Lytechinus pictus: one gene and its partner. The protein of the gene in region 1 purifies or fractionates together with the protein of each later gene. This does not show direct contact. Links are inferred from orthologs where the notes say so. Each region holds a gene or a part of one and is shown on either strand. Other genes may lie near its edges.

Evidence for each region.
Region 2: the proteins of cyclin-dependent kinase 7-like (region 1) and CDK-activating kinase assembly factor MAT1-like purify together in Drosophila melanogaster (affinity purification with western blotting; 3 studies listed by BioGRID, with this or other methods). This does not show direct contact. The link is inferred for Lytechinus pictus from reciprocal best matches to the Drosophila melanogaster genes Cdk7 and Mat1.

What each region holds. Positions count from the first base shown.
Region 1 is NC_087249.1:7,302,717-7,311,029, reverse strand, and holds the start of cyclin-dependent kinase 7-like, read left to right. Parts: upstream 1-4,829; 5' UTR 4,830-5,030; intron 5,031-8,313.
Region 2 is NC_087251.1:44,919,442-44,927,552, forward strand, and holds the start of CDK-activating kinase assembly factor MAT1-like, read right to left. Parts: upstream 3,522-8,111; 5' UTR 3,444-3,521; coding exon 3,355-3,443; intron 1,727-3,354; coding exon 1,574-1,726; intron 395-1,573; coding exon 321-394; intron 1-320.

The DNA of each region.
Region 1 (8,313 bases):
ATTCCGGGCTGGTGTTAAATCAACACCAGAGTTTTTGAGGTGTACAAGCTCTACTTTTTAGTAAGTCCTCTATTTTCATTTACATTTTCATATGGTAATATGCAATTATCCATATTGCAACAACGCTATATTTTTTGTTTTGTAGTGATCTTTATTATTCATTCAAATAAATTTCATACATACATAATCAAGAAAATATAGAACAAAATGATAATTGCAACAGTGCAATACACAAATTAAATAACAGTGTAATAAACATAGCAGGCAAATTGTATAAAAAAAGAGACATAATCCGAACTCATGCAAAAATAACATTTCAACAACTTATATATGCAGCTATAAAGCAAATAATAAAACAAGACGTAACAACTATGCAAATTTAAAGAATGAATGTATATGAGCATTCTCCCGTCCCATGGCCCCCCCCCCCCCTATCAGACCCCTATATTCATGTACCAATCATGTTTCTACGATATCATTATTGAAATATTTCTTATGACGTTTAATCTGTTTTGTATATTTCTATATCTGTATATGTTTGTTTTTACGGTGATTATTTGAAAATGGAGATACAGAGACTGAAACGAATATGATAGATGACTATTTAAATCAATCTTGAGTCATCTCCCTCTGATCCATCAATGTATAATTGCCCCCAGAAAGCGGACGAAAACTTAGGAATTAGTGATATTCCGGATACATGAGAAACAAATCTACATTGTTTAAAATATCGTTTAAAAAATGTCCTCGATCAAAAATTATTTCTTCTTTCAATTGAGACCGATCCTCATTAATTCCCGTTTTGCTCTTTGAGAAGAGGTAAAAAAAGAAACACTTGTGAAATACTTCATAGCGGTATGCAGAATTTGTTTTCCAACATGTCCAAAGAAAGTTTAAAGCGAGAAAGTGAAGCGACCAAGCTTGTCATGGACGCTTTGCTTTTTAAAATAAAAATTTAAGGATTTCCACTTTTTGCACTTGGTGACTTTTGTGAAAATTTTCAGTGATAAATGTAGGTTTTCAAAATTTCTGGTGGCAACTGCCCTTCCACTGCATACGGCCACGAATACTTTATGACTATGTCTAAAACAGAAATGCTTTTGGTTCATGAGATTTTGATGCCTCAATAAATCAGTGATATTAAAAAAATGTATCGACAGCATTCTTTCAAACTTTGGTTTCCTGGAAAAATCAAGCTGATTGCTGCCATATATCTATTTTAAGGGTGTAATTTAAGCGCCTTTTCTATTTTAAATAGATATGTGTACATAACTTAATTTAAGAATCCAAATTGTGAAAGAGGTGTTCACCGGGCGTTGTGCAAATAATTTTCTCAATCATTCTTAGTGTAAATTTTGATGTTCGGTACTAAATTATTATAATTGTGCATAAGATTGTATTTTATTCGTATTATATTATTTAAAATAGATGCTGAACAAAACAATAAAATACATACTCAAAACATATCAAAATAATCTTAAACAGCCGGGGACAGAGGCGTCGATCGTTGGGGGGGGGGGGGCAGGGGGCGGTCATTCCTAATGGAAATATTGGGGCAAACATATTGATTAGCCCCCTAATGATTTTGACAACTATGCAATGCAAATGAATGCAAATGAAAAGCATTGGTAAGCACTATCAAATCATTAAACTTAGCATAAAAATGAATTTAAACAAGTCATGTAAAATTAAAAATTTTCGGCGCAAATCGCTCGTAAAACTAAATCTGGCGTGCCGATACTTTTGGACATTTTTCAGTCTTGCCCCCCTCCCAAATAATCATTGGGGCGATTCCACACTAGAACTTCAAAAATATCATAAATTTCAACATGCTTTCAATAAGTCATAAGTAGTGTAATATTTTACTATGATACCTAAATTTTATGAAAATTGTGGGTTTTAACCAAAAGTGAAGTCAGATATAGTTTTTTGGGGGAAAACAATGGAATTTTCAATAATTTTGCTAATTAAATAGTCAAGTACAAACACTGCCTGAAACGATTATTGGCAAAGCACGAGAAGATTGAAAATATTGCCGATCAATGGAATAATGTATCATTGAATGGTTCCAAATAATATCTACAACATTTTCATGATCCATAATAGGGCAGCCCTGATTTATCCGAACCTATTTTTGACAATGTCCCGTACGACACATAAAAATGCAAAAGTTTTTCCTACAATTATATTTTTGATGATGCAATTTCACAAAATCAGTTTCTCTATCTTTGATCCATGGGTGATCGATTTATCCCATAAGGATCTAGTTACTGCCTTTCATTTTTTTAAATTGTCCTATTAAAAGTTGTCCCGTACGACACACAATATATACTGCATTTAATTGCAGGATTTGGATTCAGAAACTATAAATAGTAGGCCTATTTTAATTTAAGTAATTGATTTGACATAAAGTGAACTGAAAAAGTGCTTTTTTATCTCCATAGAACATGAAATATAAGTGATTCTAACCATTTTAATTGACTTTATGTAGGTTTTTTCTTTTGTGAATCCCTTCAGCTAAACTGGTGATTTTCACTGGTCAGAGCAGGTTTATTTCTTTATCATTGAGCATCAAAAGAAAACCTTTAGAATTGATTCACCCTAGCCTGGAAGATGACTTCCTCTTGCATGCTAATGTGAAATTATTATAAGATGTAAAAAAAAATATTTACATATCAATCATCTATTTGGACTTCTCTTGATGATCACTAATTTTTTTATGTATAGTATTGAAACTTCTTACTTTTTTCAAGCTGTAAAAAAAATCTGGAAAATAAGACAAACCATGTTCCAAAAAAAATCTGGAAAATAATACAAATCATATATGGTTTCATTAATGCAGAAAGGTTTGAAAAAGTAGAATCGCATTATATTTCTTGAGAAAAAACAAATATGTTGTGGAATTACAAGTGACAGTTGTGACATATATCATGTATACATTTTATATGAAAAATCATAACATTTTAGCCCCATAATGTACACAAACAGTTTCGTTCATTCGTTGTTTAAATAGTGTATTGGAAATCATCAATTAATTCACTAAAATATAACTTCACACAAAACCTCAAGTTTTTCAGCTCGTTAAAATGCTGTGAACAATTGAACATTTCCCATCATGAAAAAAAACAATTGCTCCCGATTGTATATACATTGAGGTTACTTAATTATATTGTCCTGAATGACTACTTATTAAAAGGCTTTTCATTAAAAAGGAAGAATTTAGGGGCAATGCTCCCCTTCTGATTGATAAAAAGTTCATTGTTTTATTCAGGCTGTCCAGTACAACACGCAAGTGCCTGTTCAACGCACAATTAGTGTCCCGTACAACACACAAAATTAATGTCAATTCTTTCAATTCTTTTTATTTCATTTCCATTCAAAAAACATAATACAAAGTAATATAAAGTAATACAAATCAAGTACAATTTTACAGAAGGGCATTCTTACTTCGTAAAAAAAAAAACAGAAAAAACAGTGTAATATAGAGCATAAATGGAAATGAGGGGGATCCACTAAAAAGCAAAGCTTGTAAAGTGTGGATCCCCTTGGAAATGAAAAAAGTATAGTAGACTTATTCTGATATGCGTACATATATGTATTACAGGAAAGAAAAAGAGAACAAAAGAAATCATACGGATGCAAATATAATTACTGAACTAATGCAAAGCTTTTCACACAATGTCCCGTACGACACGCAAGTATCCCGTATGACACATTATTTTGTTTATGATATATTGACAGAAATATTCAGCCAATAGCGGTTTCTAACATAATGAATGTCTTTAGTTTGATAGGATTATCATTATCATCAGTAAAATGAAGTGATTGAAGAAGTCAAAGAGACATAGATTAAGAAAGTTTGGCTTCAATTTAGAAATGACCCGTATGACACATTTTGATCGAGTGTCCCGTACGCCACAATGTTCTCGAAAATTGTAATTTGCTTTATTTATTCATGAATGTTTATTATACAGGATGTGAATTCAAGTCATGTTAAGTCTTGGTTTTCCTAACACTCTGGTAGTACTTGTTGATCACCTTTACTTACTGGAATATTTTTTTTTTCTTGTCAAAAAACTGTCAAATGTACGTACTCTAAATGTCCCGTACGACAAGTATAGAATCACCCATTGTATATATTGTTCAATTTCGGTTTCTTTTTTCTAATATAATGATATGGCTATATTCAACTCGATGATAAAAATACAGAGTATTTTGGGAATATGGTCATCTTGAAATAGTAAGGTTTTCTGTCTAAAATTTTGTTTCATAGTTTGTAACAAAAAGAGAATATCTAGAATTGTAATATTGATAATTTAGAAATAAATTGCTAAGAAAAAAAAGAAAGTATTCTTAGATGTATATTCAACAATAATTTTAAAAAGTGGAACAGGAATTTGAATGTGGGTTTGGGGATGCGTGATTGCTTGTGTGTGTTTAATATCTCAATCGCCAATTGTTTTAATTTCATGCGCATCATATCTCAGACTATATGGACGTAAGTGACATGTATGAAATACTCTGATTGAAGAAATCATGATCATAGTGACCACGATGACGACGAAGATGACGACAGCGACACGGCAATTAACCCCGCCTCCCCAATGAAAATAATGCGGGCCCCATTTGTGGCCAGCTCATCTTCCCTAAGAGGCGTACCCTGGATCCGCCACTGATGATAAACGATGATAAGGATGGTGAATGATGATGATGATGATGACGATGACGATGATATGGCGGTGGTGGTGGTGAACTGGTGATGATCAGATGATGATGATGCGATGATGACGATCGGATGATGATGATTATGATGCGATGATGACGATGATGATGATGATAATGATGCCCGGTGATGATGATGATGCTGATGATGATGAATTAAAGTTGGAGAGTTTATTCGATAATCATGGGAATTGGCCAGTGGCGCCTCTCACCGCGTACAGAGCTAGCGAGCCCGGCCGTTTCTCTGGCGCAGCGCCCAGGGCCAGCGATAGATAGCCCGAGTGAGGCGTGCGGCAGATATAGTCTAGGTGATTGGTGAAAAAAATGTTCAGAAAATGGTACAAGCATGAAAATCGGCACAAAGGTAGAGTAAGTTATTCTAAACATTTTTAGCAGGGGGTGCCGACGTGAGTTCACCGAACATAGCAACGGTTGCTAGGTAACATATTTACCTTAGTAACTGAGCTTAATTGGGCTAAAGTAACATTTTCATAAGCGATATGTCATACAAATTTTAATCTAAAGCATGTTCCTTTGTATCACAACAGTTTTGATCCATTTATTCGTAGCAACGGTTGCTAAGGGACCCTCTTCCGTAGCAACAAATTCTATATCTTAATTCAGATCATTATAATCTACTCAGAATAGCTCAGAAATTAAATCTGGCCCATAGATTCATCATGTGATGAATGTTTCCATAGGTAGACCTAATGAGTACCATAGCAACCTTTGCTAAGTAACATTTCCCACGGTAACAAGTATTATAGGGTATCTATCAATGATTATAATTTTTTTTAAATCGCATCTTTTCTATTAAAGCATTAATACAATGTATACAAGCCCATGCGAAGTACCAGTTGCTATTACGTTTTCTGTAGCAACCAATGGTTAAAGGCAGTATGGTAAGATTATTGATGTGTAAATCATAGAGGTACTAATAGATGCTTAAAAAGTAAAACCTTGCACAAATTAAACTACCTCATGAAATGGTTCATAGTTCCAAAGACGATGTCTATGGGTTCCATAGTATTGGTATAATAATACTTATTGCATATCAAAAGAACTTCACCTTTAACACCTATCTTTATCCATTTTGAAACCATATTATGGATTAACCTAAACATATGTAAAATATCGACCCTTGGAATAATTCAACAAAAGGTGGTTTCAAACCGCCTCGATCACAAGAATCCCCGTTAAGTTACGATAACTTTTAAGGCTTAAAAATACCCATATTCCTGCATTCACACCGCCCCGAAACATACCCTTCAGGGGGGGGGGGCGTTTCATGAAAGGGCTTGTCGGACATTTTATCCGACAAGTACTAGTTTATCCAACAGTTACCATAGGAACAGTGCCTCTCAGCCAATCAGAATCAACGAAAGATGTCAGATCTGACAACTTGTCGGATGAAAATATTGATGAAACGCTCCCCAGGATAAGTTCCTGCATGAAGTTACGAGCATGAGCAGTATGTTCTGATAAGCAGGCAAGGCGCGATATTCAAAATCACTAGCCCAGCAGCCACCCACGGCGCCCGCGCCCAACGACACGCTGGGCTAAAAGTTCCTGTAAATTGCTTTCACATTGCCAAAATACCTGCGACCTTAGATAAATCCCCACGAAAGTTCTCGTTATTTGGCCAAGTACCTACTATTTAGCGGGTATTTTCTTTCGGGAAAATTTCGCGTAGTTTGCTTTCACATTACCAAAATACCTGGAACTGACGAACTTTGAGGCGGTCTGAAACCACCTAATATCAACATTTAGCAAGAGGTCACTCTTGTATAAGAACGGTTACAAGAACTCCCCAGGAGGTCATGGGTACTAAAAACCTAAATAGCTCTGATCTTGAAGAGATAACCACGAAGAGATGACCACCAAGAATTGATTGAGTCATATAAGTTTAGAATTATTTCAAACACATAAATCTTGTCAAAAATTAATTTTCAAATGAGTGATTGGATACCACTTATCCCTTGCTAACAGCAGTCGTTCGCTTGAAAGCCAACACACTTTGCCTTGGTTTACCCACTCCCTTCCGTAGCCTGCAATGAAGATCATATTAGTTCTCCATGTTGTTCCCAAACCAAACGCCATGGGTAGGAGTTGATTTTGCCCAGGCGTTTTGATCAATCCTGCGCAGCTGGGGGAAAGATCTGTTAGAATTGATTGCGACCCTTCAGTTCCGTTTACTGGCCTGTTGGCCTGGATCCTGCAGCTACATGATCTATCATGACTTCTGCAGAAGTTGATTTGTACCTGTTACTTCCGATTCCAGGTGTTTTGACCTGGAACAATCCTGCAGCTCCACGATCTATCATGACGTGAAAGATCTTGCTAGAGGTAATTTAGACCCGTCAGATCCGTTTTTATATAGGCATGCTGGCCTGGATCCTGGAGCTAAATGACTTGATCCTGCCGAAGATGATTTGGACATGTCCGTCCTTTTTCCGGGTGTTTTGACCTGGAACAATCCTGCAGCTCCAGGACGTGTCATCACGTAAAAGATTTCGCAACAGTTGATTTGGACCAGCCAGTTCTGTTTTCAGGCGTGGTGGCCTGGATCCTGCAGCTCAGGGCTCTATCATGAGTTGAAAGCTTGTGCAGAAGCTGATTTGGACCTTTCTGATATTTTTCTAGGTGTTTTTACCTGGATCAATCCTGCAGCTCCAGGACTTAGCATCACTTGAAAGATCTGTTAGATTCGATTTAGACCATCAGTTCCGTTTCCAGGGGTGTTGGTCTCGATCCTGCAACTACATGATCCATTGTGACTTCTGTAAATGTCGATTTGGACCTGTCAGTTCCTATTCCACGTGTTTTGACCTGGATTAATAATGTAGCTCTGGGATCTATCATGACATGAAAGATCTTGCAAGAGATGATTTTGACATGTCAGTTCCGTTTCTAGGCATGTTGACCTGGATTCTGCAGCTATATGATTGATCTATCATGGCTCGATCCTGCAGATCAGTTGATTGGACCTGTCCTTTCTGTATCCAGGTGTTTTGACCTGGATCAATCCTGCAGCTCCAGGATTCATGATTTGAAAGCATGCGCATAAGTTAGTTTGACCTGTTAGTTCCAATTGCAGGTATTTTGGCCGGGATCTTGCAGCTTCAAGACCGATCATGACTTGATAAATCTTGCAGGACTATGCTTTATCACCTACGTATATGAAGTACTTATGATATCAGGTTGGCTCGACGCGATCCATACTCGGCCACAGAACATTAGCATGAAGTTCTGATATGCTTCTTCCTTCCGTATACCTCCGATACTTCTTGGCATGTCCAACTCAGATGGAAATGATCCTGCTGATGGCACTACCACCTTGTCTCGCAATATAATTTCCTTATGAAGAGAAATGTTTCTTACACTTTGATTGATGAACAAGTAATTGTCCGACCGAAGAGGATGATGACTGTAACTTTCTTGATATGTTCCTCTGTTGCATCTGCTATTCTTTGTCGAGCATACTGCATGTTTCACAGTGGCCTTGCTTTTCCGCACTTATGATTAACCCAGACAGTCTTAACTTAATTTTTTGACTAAATATATGCCCTACTCTGAGAAGGCATGTGCGAC
Region 2 (8,111 bases), on another chromosome or scaffold:
TATGGATAGTACTGTATAATCTTAGGAAAATTCAACATCCAACATATTTAATAATTATTCACATGGACCTGTGCAGACTGGTACATTGTTGAAAAAAAATACAAATACCTGTATGATTTCACATCAATTAAAAACACAAGACTTAATTCCAAATGTTTACCCACAATGAAACATTGTAGCAGACACTTTACATCAAAATAGATGTACATAATATCATTGTCCATTCGCAAATCTTTGTCAGGAATGTTCCCAAAGATAAGCAATATTCAAACTGTACATGGTTTATTACTTCCACCAAGGATACTGTAATGTTAGCTCACCAATATGCTCTATGTCTTCTAAATAGTCATTATATTCTCTCAACGTCTGGAAGTCACCTTCCTGTTTGTTAAAGCTGAAAGATATCAGAATCAGAACAGTGTGTGGTATTAAAATTAACAGTAATATGACACATCCTAAACATCTGCAATCGGACTGGAACTGTACACCGCCAATACAATTTCATATGGGTGTAATTATTACCAGTGATTAAAACTCGAGTCAATTTTACAAAGGGTCAAGTGCAAAATCTACATACTCTTCATCTTTAAGACAGCACATTATTTCTTTACACAATGAATACTAATCGACCAAACAAAATGCCATCATGAAACATAATTAGAATTGGTAGGTAAATTGAGTGAGTTGATGTGGATAGGCAAACCAGGGACACAAATTTCAGAAAAGTTGCCCACAGTGACCAAATTGTCAGCTCTGACAATTTTGGTTAAAAAAACTTGGTCTCAATTGGATGAACAGAATGGTCTCCGTTAGTGCTATTTCTATAGTAACTGTCGGAGAATCGCACATTGTTAGTGCTGACAAGCTTCATGAAACAGTGCCCTGTTCATCACCATGCTTTTTTCCCCAAGTCAATATCCTGTTGACTGAGCACCGAGTTAGAGATCTCATTTACATGTACAACTACATATACTAGTACAAGAGACACTAGGTGATTTCAAGTCCGGTGTTGGGGTCGGAAGCACAAATTGGACTGCGTTTCCTGGCTCCAAAACCTATTCTGAGTTTACACAAATGATCACAATATTGACAACTTGCCACACAGTGAGTGACCTTTCAGGACCAACTTCATTCTATGTTTGGTGCTATGATTATATAAAAATTGACCTAACATGAATACCAAATGGTCAGCACTGAACTCCAAGGCCCGTATTCTGAAGTCAGGTTTAACTTAGACTCAGGTTTAAAGTTGTGGTTTAAGTATGGGAAGCCAAAAGTATCAAAATATTTTATTAAGTTGTACATTTCTTATGTTTACTGTGCTCTTTCCTGATTCATCGATGGTGAAGACAATAATCTATATATACTTCCTGGATAATTATGAATGATTTGTGAGCCAAATGAGCTGAAATATGATATCTCTACTGTCAGTGATTTATGTAACAATTGGCTGTCCATACTTAAACCACAACTTTAAACCTGAGTTTAAGTTAAACCCGACTTCAGAATACGGGCCATAATCACCTATTCTGAAGGCAAGATAGATGGGAAATATACCTCTTCACATACTTACTCTTTCATCACTCTTCTCCTAATGTCCACTTCCTTTTCAATGATTGAATCTTCAAAGAGTTGTACTCGAAACTGGTTTCTCCTCAGAGGTGTTTTACACTCGGGACACGTCCCTGCTCCTCGTACAAATAACAGCTCAACACAGTTATCACATCTGAAATGACAAGATAATCATGATTTTTCTTGACCTTTAAATAAGAAGATGAGGGATATCCAGGTTGTAAAGCTAAACCAAGAGAAATAGATTCCCATTGCTTGCCTCCATTTTTTAAAAAGATTTGTCATTTTCCCATGCCATGGACTTATTATTCCGGATATTGGTCATATGTTTGACATTTCATTATCAATGTAAGATAAGCTTAGATATAAAACAGGGCTCGACATTAGCAGTGGCCCAGGCCAGGGCAACAAAAATGAGTCGGGCCACCAAAATTCTGTAAAAGCCCACACTTGGTGGCCCGGTCGGGCTTCCAAAGTTTTGATGAATTGCAATGTTTTATTTTGTTTTGGGTTCACCGAATTTGCTTTGCTGGCCACCAAGAATATGATATTGATGATTTTGGTGGACCGATCGGGCCACCGAGAAAAAAGTTAGTGTGGAGCCTTGTTAATAATAAGTTAGTCCACTCTGGTGGTATCACATCTAAATTCTAAGTAAAACACAAGCAAGTAAACTAACTTGTAAAAACATATCTTGTGTGTGTGCAAATGCACGTGATACACTCACACTAGTGCGAGATTAGTATTAGTATACTAATTCACACTAGTGCGAGGTTAGTATTAGTATACTAACACAGCACAAAGAACCGCATTTGGCGGTGTAGGGCGCATGCGCGAATTTGACAAAGTCTATATGCGCTATAGACCAAAAGCTTCGGTCTCTGTTATGTTGGTTGTTCAGCTGAACTCCGTTGGCTTCACTCACCAAATACAGAGACCGAAGTTCTAGCGCGATCTGTACAGGGGACTCAATGGCCATATGTTTATGTGTATTAAGTTCGGATAAAACAGGGCAGTAAAGTTGCGCAACAGCCGGGGTAAGTCACTGTTTTTGTTCCTTTTAACTTGATTTTCCCCGTTTTTTTTGCAATTAATGCCAAGAGGGAATATTAATTTGCATTTCGGTCGCGTTAATTTTCAAAAGTTTGATTCATTAAAGACAAAAATTGAAGAGCCCCGACAGGGGAATTTTGCATTGTAAGTCCCCTAATGGTGGCTGCACGATAGCGAGCCGTCTGTGTATGAGGAGAAATTTAAAAAATAAAAAAATGTTAAAAAACTCCTCAAAACAGACGGCTGCCAGCTGTCTATATGCGCTAGTGCTATAGCCTCGGTCTCGATCGGCCATTTTGTTTTGAATTCTGAAAGAAGGAGAGCTACCGTGACAGAACTTTTCGTTTTTTGAGGTTCCAGTCTGTGCCTCGATGTCAGGAGGAAGCTGCCACTCGTTAGACCTTCATCCATATAGACCATATTATAATAGTGGTAAGTGCTTAATTTCTGTTTTAACTATTTACTCTTTAAATGATTTAGACCATACCTCATGCTACTACCGTGGGGTATGGCGAATTACACGGTAAGCCCCTGGGCTCCGGCCCGCTGAGCTGCGCGGGCCGGAGCTCCCTGGGTTACTGACTACTGTCTATCACTACACTTGACTTGGTCTGATCTTGGCACACACGATTTTGAATGCATCGGACTGAACCTACAAATATAAGTTCCTGCAGTGATCTTCCTAATTTCCATCCATATTCTTACAAAAAACATAGTCATTATACTTACAGTGTGTGCCCACACACATTCACCATGAGTTTCAGCGATGGGTTCCGATATTTTGTTGTTTTACAACGTGGACACATTTGTTCATCCATGATTGGGAGATTTCTAGCAGAAATTTATGAGACAAGTAAAGTATGATACAAAAAACTGAAAATACTTCTAACGTAGATGGCGCTATTGAAAAACAGCACGGTGATGACAACACCATAGAGATGTATATATCTCTGTGACAACACCGATCTCGTGACAACGTGCGAAGTGGCATAATCAGATTTTCCTCGGGAAAATGTGCCCCCCCCCCCTTTTGTTGGAAAATCCTGGATCTTCCCCTGGTGTATATCATGTATATAAACAAAAGAAGTGATCAAGGCATATTCTCATTGGCGGCACCAGGCAAATGGGGGGGGGGGCAAAAGAACATTTTTTCTGGCAAAGGTGGACACAAATTTTTTGGGCTGTTTCACAAAATCGAGCGCGAAGCCCAAGTTCAATTTTTTATACAGTTCCAACTGACTTGAAAATGGACCTGATAAGGACTGCTTGCACTTACTCATGAAGATGATATCTCACCAAATAAATAATACGAGCGTGAAGCGCGAGCTGAAAATTTATATTATCTCGAGATGATAACTGGACGTTATAAGCACTTTTGTAAACATGATCAGGATAGTTATTTAACTAAACAATTGATGCGAGCGCCTAGCATGAGATAACAATTTGTTTACCTTTTTGTATATAATTATGCAGGATGTGTATCTTAATAAAAAAAAAATTGAAAAATCGAATCATGAGAAGAATAAGCCCCAGGGTATCCTACATTGAACGGATCATTTATTTAAGTCAACTGACAGCCACTGCGAGCGCGAAGCGCGAGAGGGATTTTAATTTCATATAATGACCTGAAAGATTTCTGTTAGTGACTAATATTGTTAGTGGCTATCAGTGAATGAATGAGAACATTTAAAAAATTAGAATAGTGAAAATGCTATTTTGGGAGCATTTTACAGCTTGAGTAGGATGCTTATGACAGCATTTACTATATTTATTTAGTTTTCCAAATTTCTGAGGGGGGGGCAAGTGGGGGACAATCCTAACTGGGGCAAATACCCCCCACCCCTGCACCCCCTTGGTGCCGCCACTGTATGTCCTTTATATTTGTTTTGATTATGATTTACAGGAGGTGAAATAGTTTTTAATTTTGTTCACGCTCAACATTTATTATTACTGTGTATTTATAAGGTACATTATGTTGCTTAAAGGGTACAAAGCCAGTGGCTTACCGTGGACCACGGCATGGGGGGCACCAGCAAAATTTTGGAGTCACTTAGTGGGCGCGCCAAGCGCGCTCAATTACCAGGTATACTGACCTAATAGACACTTTAAGGACTGTGCCATTAAACGGATATGTATCTCACTGATCAAATAATGCGAAGCGCGAGCTGAATATTGTTTATATTCAGATCCAAAAAGGGACATTATAAGCAAAATTGTGTAATCATTATACGTTCCTGTCTCGCTAAACTAAACAAAATGCGAGCGCGAATGGCGAGTGGAAATCTTTGTAATATTGACCCCAAACAAAGACATTTTAAGGACTATTTTTTAGGAATCCATTAAGAGTATACATATCTCACCATTGTCATCTAATGCGAGTGCCAAGCGCTTGCTGATTTTGTTAAAATTACATCTAAACACATGTATGACATGAAGCACTTTTTGTAGTCAAGGTAATCATGACTCAACTTATCATACACATCTCACTAATAAAATATTGCGTTGTGCGAAGCGCGAGCTGAAAATTTAGGAAATTCAGACCTGAAGAGGGGCATTTTAAGGATTGTTTGTAGGAATTCACGAAGATTTCACTAATCAAATAACAAGAGCGCGAAGCGCGAGTTGAAAATTTGTGATATTCAGATCAGAAAAAGGGACATTTTAAGGACTGATTTTAGGAATTCATGAAGAACAGACATCTCACCGATCCACTAATTCGAACGTAAGCACGGACAGGAAATGTTTTATATTCAGACCTTAAAATGGGGCAATCACTTTAAGTAGTCATGAAAAAGAAGCATATGTCACTACATAAAACAATAATAACTCGAGGTGCGAGGAAATATATTTGGTGTATATTGACTTGAAAACGGGATGTTTTAGTACAACATGATTATGTATATCTCATTAAACAGACAATGCCTAGCACCAGTAACGACGAACACATTTAGGCCCTGAGCAAATTATTTTTCATAAAGTTATGAAAAAAAGTTCTTATGTAAGATAACATAATATATGTAATATAACATTATAATGAACGATAATTTCTTCTTTCCCACTTCGTTTCTCTTCCTTTCCCCCTCTTCCCTCGTTTTTTTTTTTTTTGGGGGGGGGGGGCGTGCCCGCCGTAGTTACGCCACTGTACAAAGCAGCCACCTCCCTCGGCCCATACATAAAAAGAGAGCATAACGTGAAATAAAGAGGGAAACTTGCAAGAGATAAAAGAAAGAAAGCGGGATAAAAGTGTTGTTTTTTTATTCATTCGTTTCCATTTCCCGCCGATTTTCCATCTATCACGGTGGTGGCGTCAAATCTTAATCAATGACATTTTTTTGGGTCATCATTACCTTTTTTTCTGTCACATAATCATTGTCAAAATTAATTTGCGGTCACTCAACTTTGACCATGCTGAAGGGCTAATTGTTAAGATTCAATTTTTCAAGATTATTTTGAAATACAGTCTCTATTCCATAAACCAAGATGTAATGGTTATCAAGTAGCGTACTGAGCCAAAAACTTTGAGGGGGCAGATATGCCGGTCAATATTTTCTAAAAAGCTACAAGCGAGAAAAATGTGCGAGAAAAAAATATCTTTTTGATATAAAAGTCTAATTGTATGGTGCATATTTCGATAAAAAAATTCAGAAAATGAATGTTATATTTCACAGTCTTTCCCTCTGTTTTCTTTTTTTTTTCTTGGTTGTGAAAATCTTTTGAGGGTGGGGCCTTTCCCCAAACCGCCCCCATCTGTATGCAACTGTCAAGTATCAGCATATAAATGAATATATTTCAGGTCACTACTAGGCCAACGTAAGCAGTAATTTCAGATCAATAATGAAAAATGTATGTTTTTTTATTGTTTGAAAATTTAGTAGGCCTTGAGTGAGGTAGTTATCTGAAATTATATAAATACATAAAATGATACAAGTACAAGATCAAAGCTCATGGACACAGGTTTTTATTTTTTCCCTTTTAATTCGAAAAATTCATCATGTTAATTAAGGGTGATATTAGGTTAATAAGTAGAAATTTTAGTACTAAATGCGCACATCCATTCATTTTTTAATTACTTAAAGATCATATAAAGAAAATATGCATCAAGTATATGATATAAATGTAATCTTCTAGCTACAAAAAAAGTATCAGAGGCAACGAATTCATGCGTCAGACGACAAATTATTTTTAAAATGCGATAGGGAGCAAACTTGGAAAAGTAAAGGGGCAGCAAATATGATTATTATTTTTGTCGGGGGGGGGGGAGGGGACTCGAAAGCGAGGGAGAGAAGCAGCTGATCTTATCACGATGGTACTTTTGCATTTTCAATATTGTAATTATAGGTTTTGGTGAACTCTGGTAAATTTTTATAAGAATTTTAGCAACAAAACGACTTCCACTTTTTAGGGAGTGGGAGGGGGGCCGGTTTGCCCCTACCAACGCTGGATACGGTCGTGGACGTAACCCACATGACCGTGCAAAAGGGTCTAATTCCTCATACATACCCATTTCGGTGACACTCGTATTGTAAAATGATTAACAAAATAATGTATTGTATATACAGCTAAAATTAATGAAATATTTCTTATTCGAGTCCTTAGACGTGGTTGCCGACACTTTTCCCCACAGTAAAATGACCCTCGCGTGTTGGCCTTGAGTTCTCTTCTGCTTCATAATCTCAATACCTGAACCCTCCCCCCCCCCCCCCCGTTTCAGAACATCCTGGCGCTACCCCTGACTATTATTATTCTCTTCTCCTCCCCCCTTTTTTTTTGGGGGGGGGGTCCCTCAGCCCCTGGAACCAATGCCCCTGATAAAAGCATTCTCCGCTCATTGTTTTCCCCGTAAGATTTTGATTAAATTTTTTTTTTTTTTTTTTTTTTGGGGGGGGGGTTAGTTTGGGGTAAAATTTTATATTGGCCTAGTCCACTACATAAAGCGTTGTGTTCGAAATCCTCATTTCTCGAGGAAGACCTTTTCTCGCAGTTGGCCAAGCTATTATTCAGAGAGGAATTCAGGGATGACAAAAGGGCAGTAAGTTTTGTAATTATGCTAGTATGACCCTGCTGCACCCCCACTCTCAGACTGCACCCCCCCCCAGTGGCGTACCTAGGATTTTCCAGAAGGGGGGCAATTTTTTTGGAGGATATTTCGTCCGAGAAAAAATTTCACAAGCAATAAAAAAAAAAAAAGGTCTTCAACAACAAATAAAGGATTTCTTACCCCCAAAAAAAATTGACAAGCAAAAAAAGATAAGATCTTCAACCAAAAATAGGTATTCAGGTGCATTTTTACATTTTACAAATTATTAATTTGGCTTCTCAAAAGGGGTGGGGGGCACGTCCCCTGTATCAGTTGTGACTCGTCAGGGGGGGGCAGGGATACGTCCCCTGCATGAGTTGTGACTCGTCAGGGGGGCAATCTGCCCCCCTGCCCCCCCCTTAGGTGCCCCCCCCCCCCCGCCAAGATCCAAACTCGCCAATTGATACTG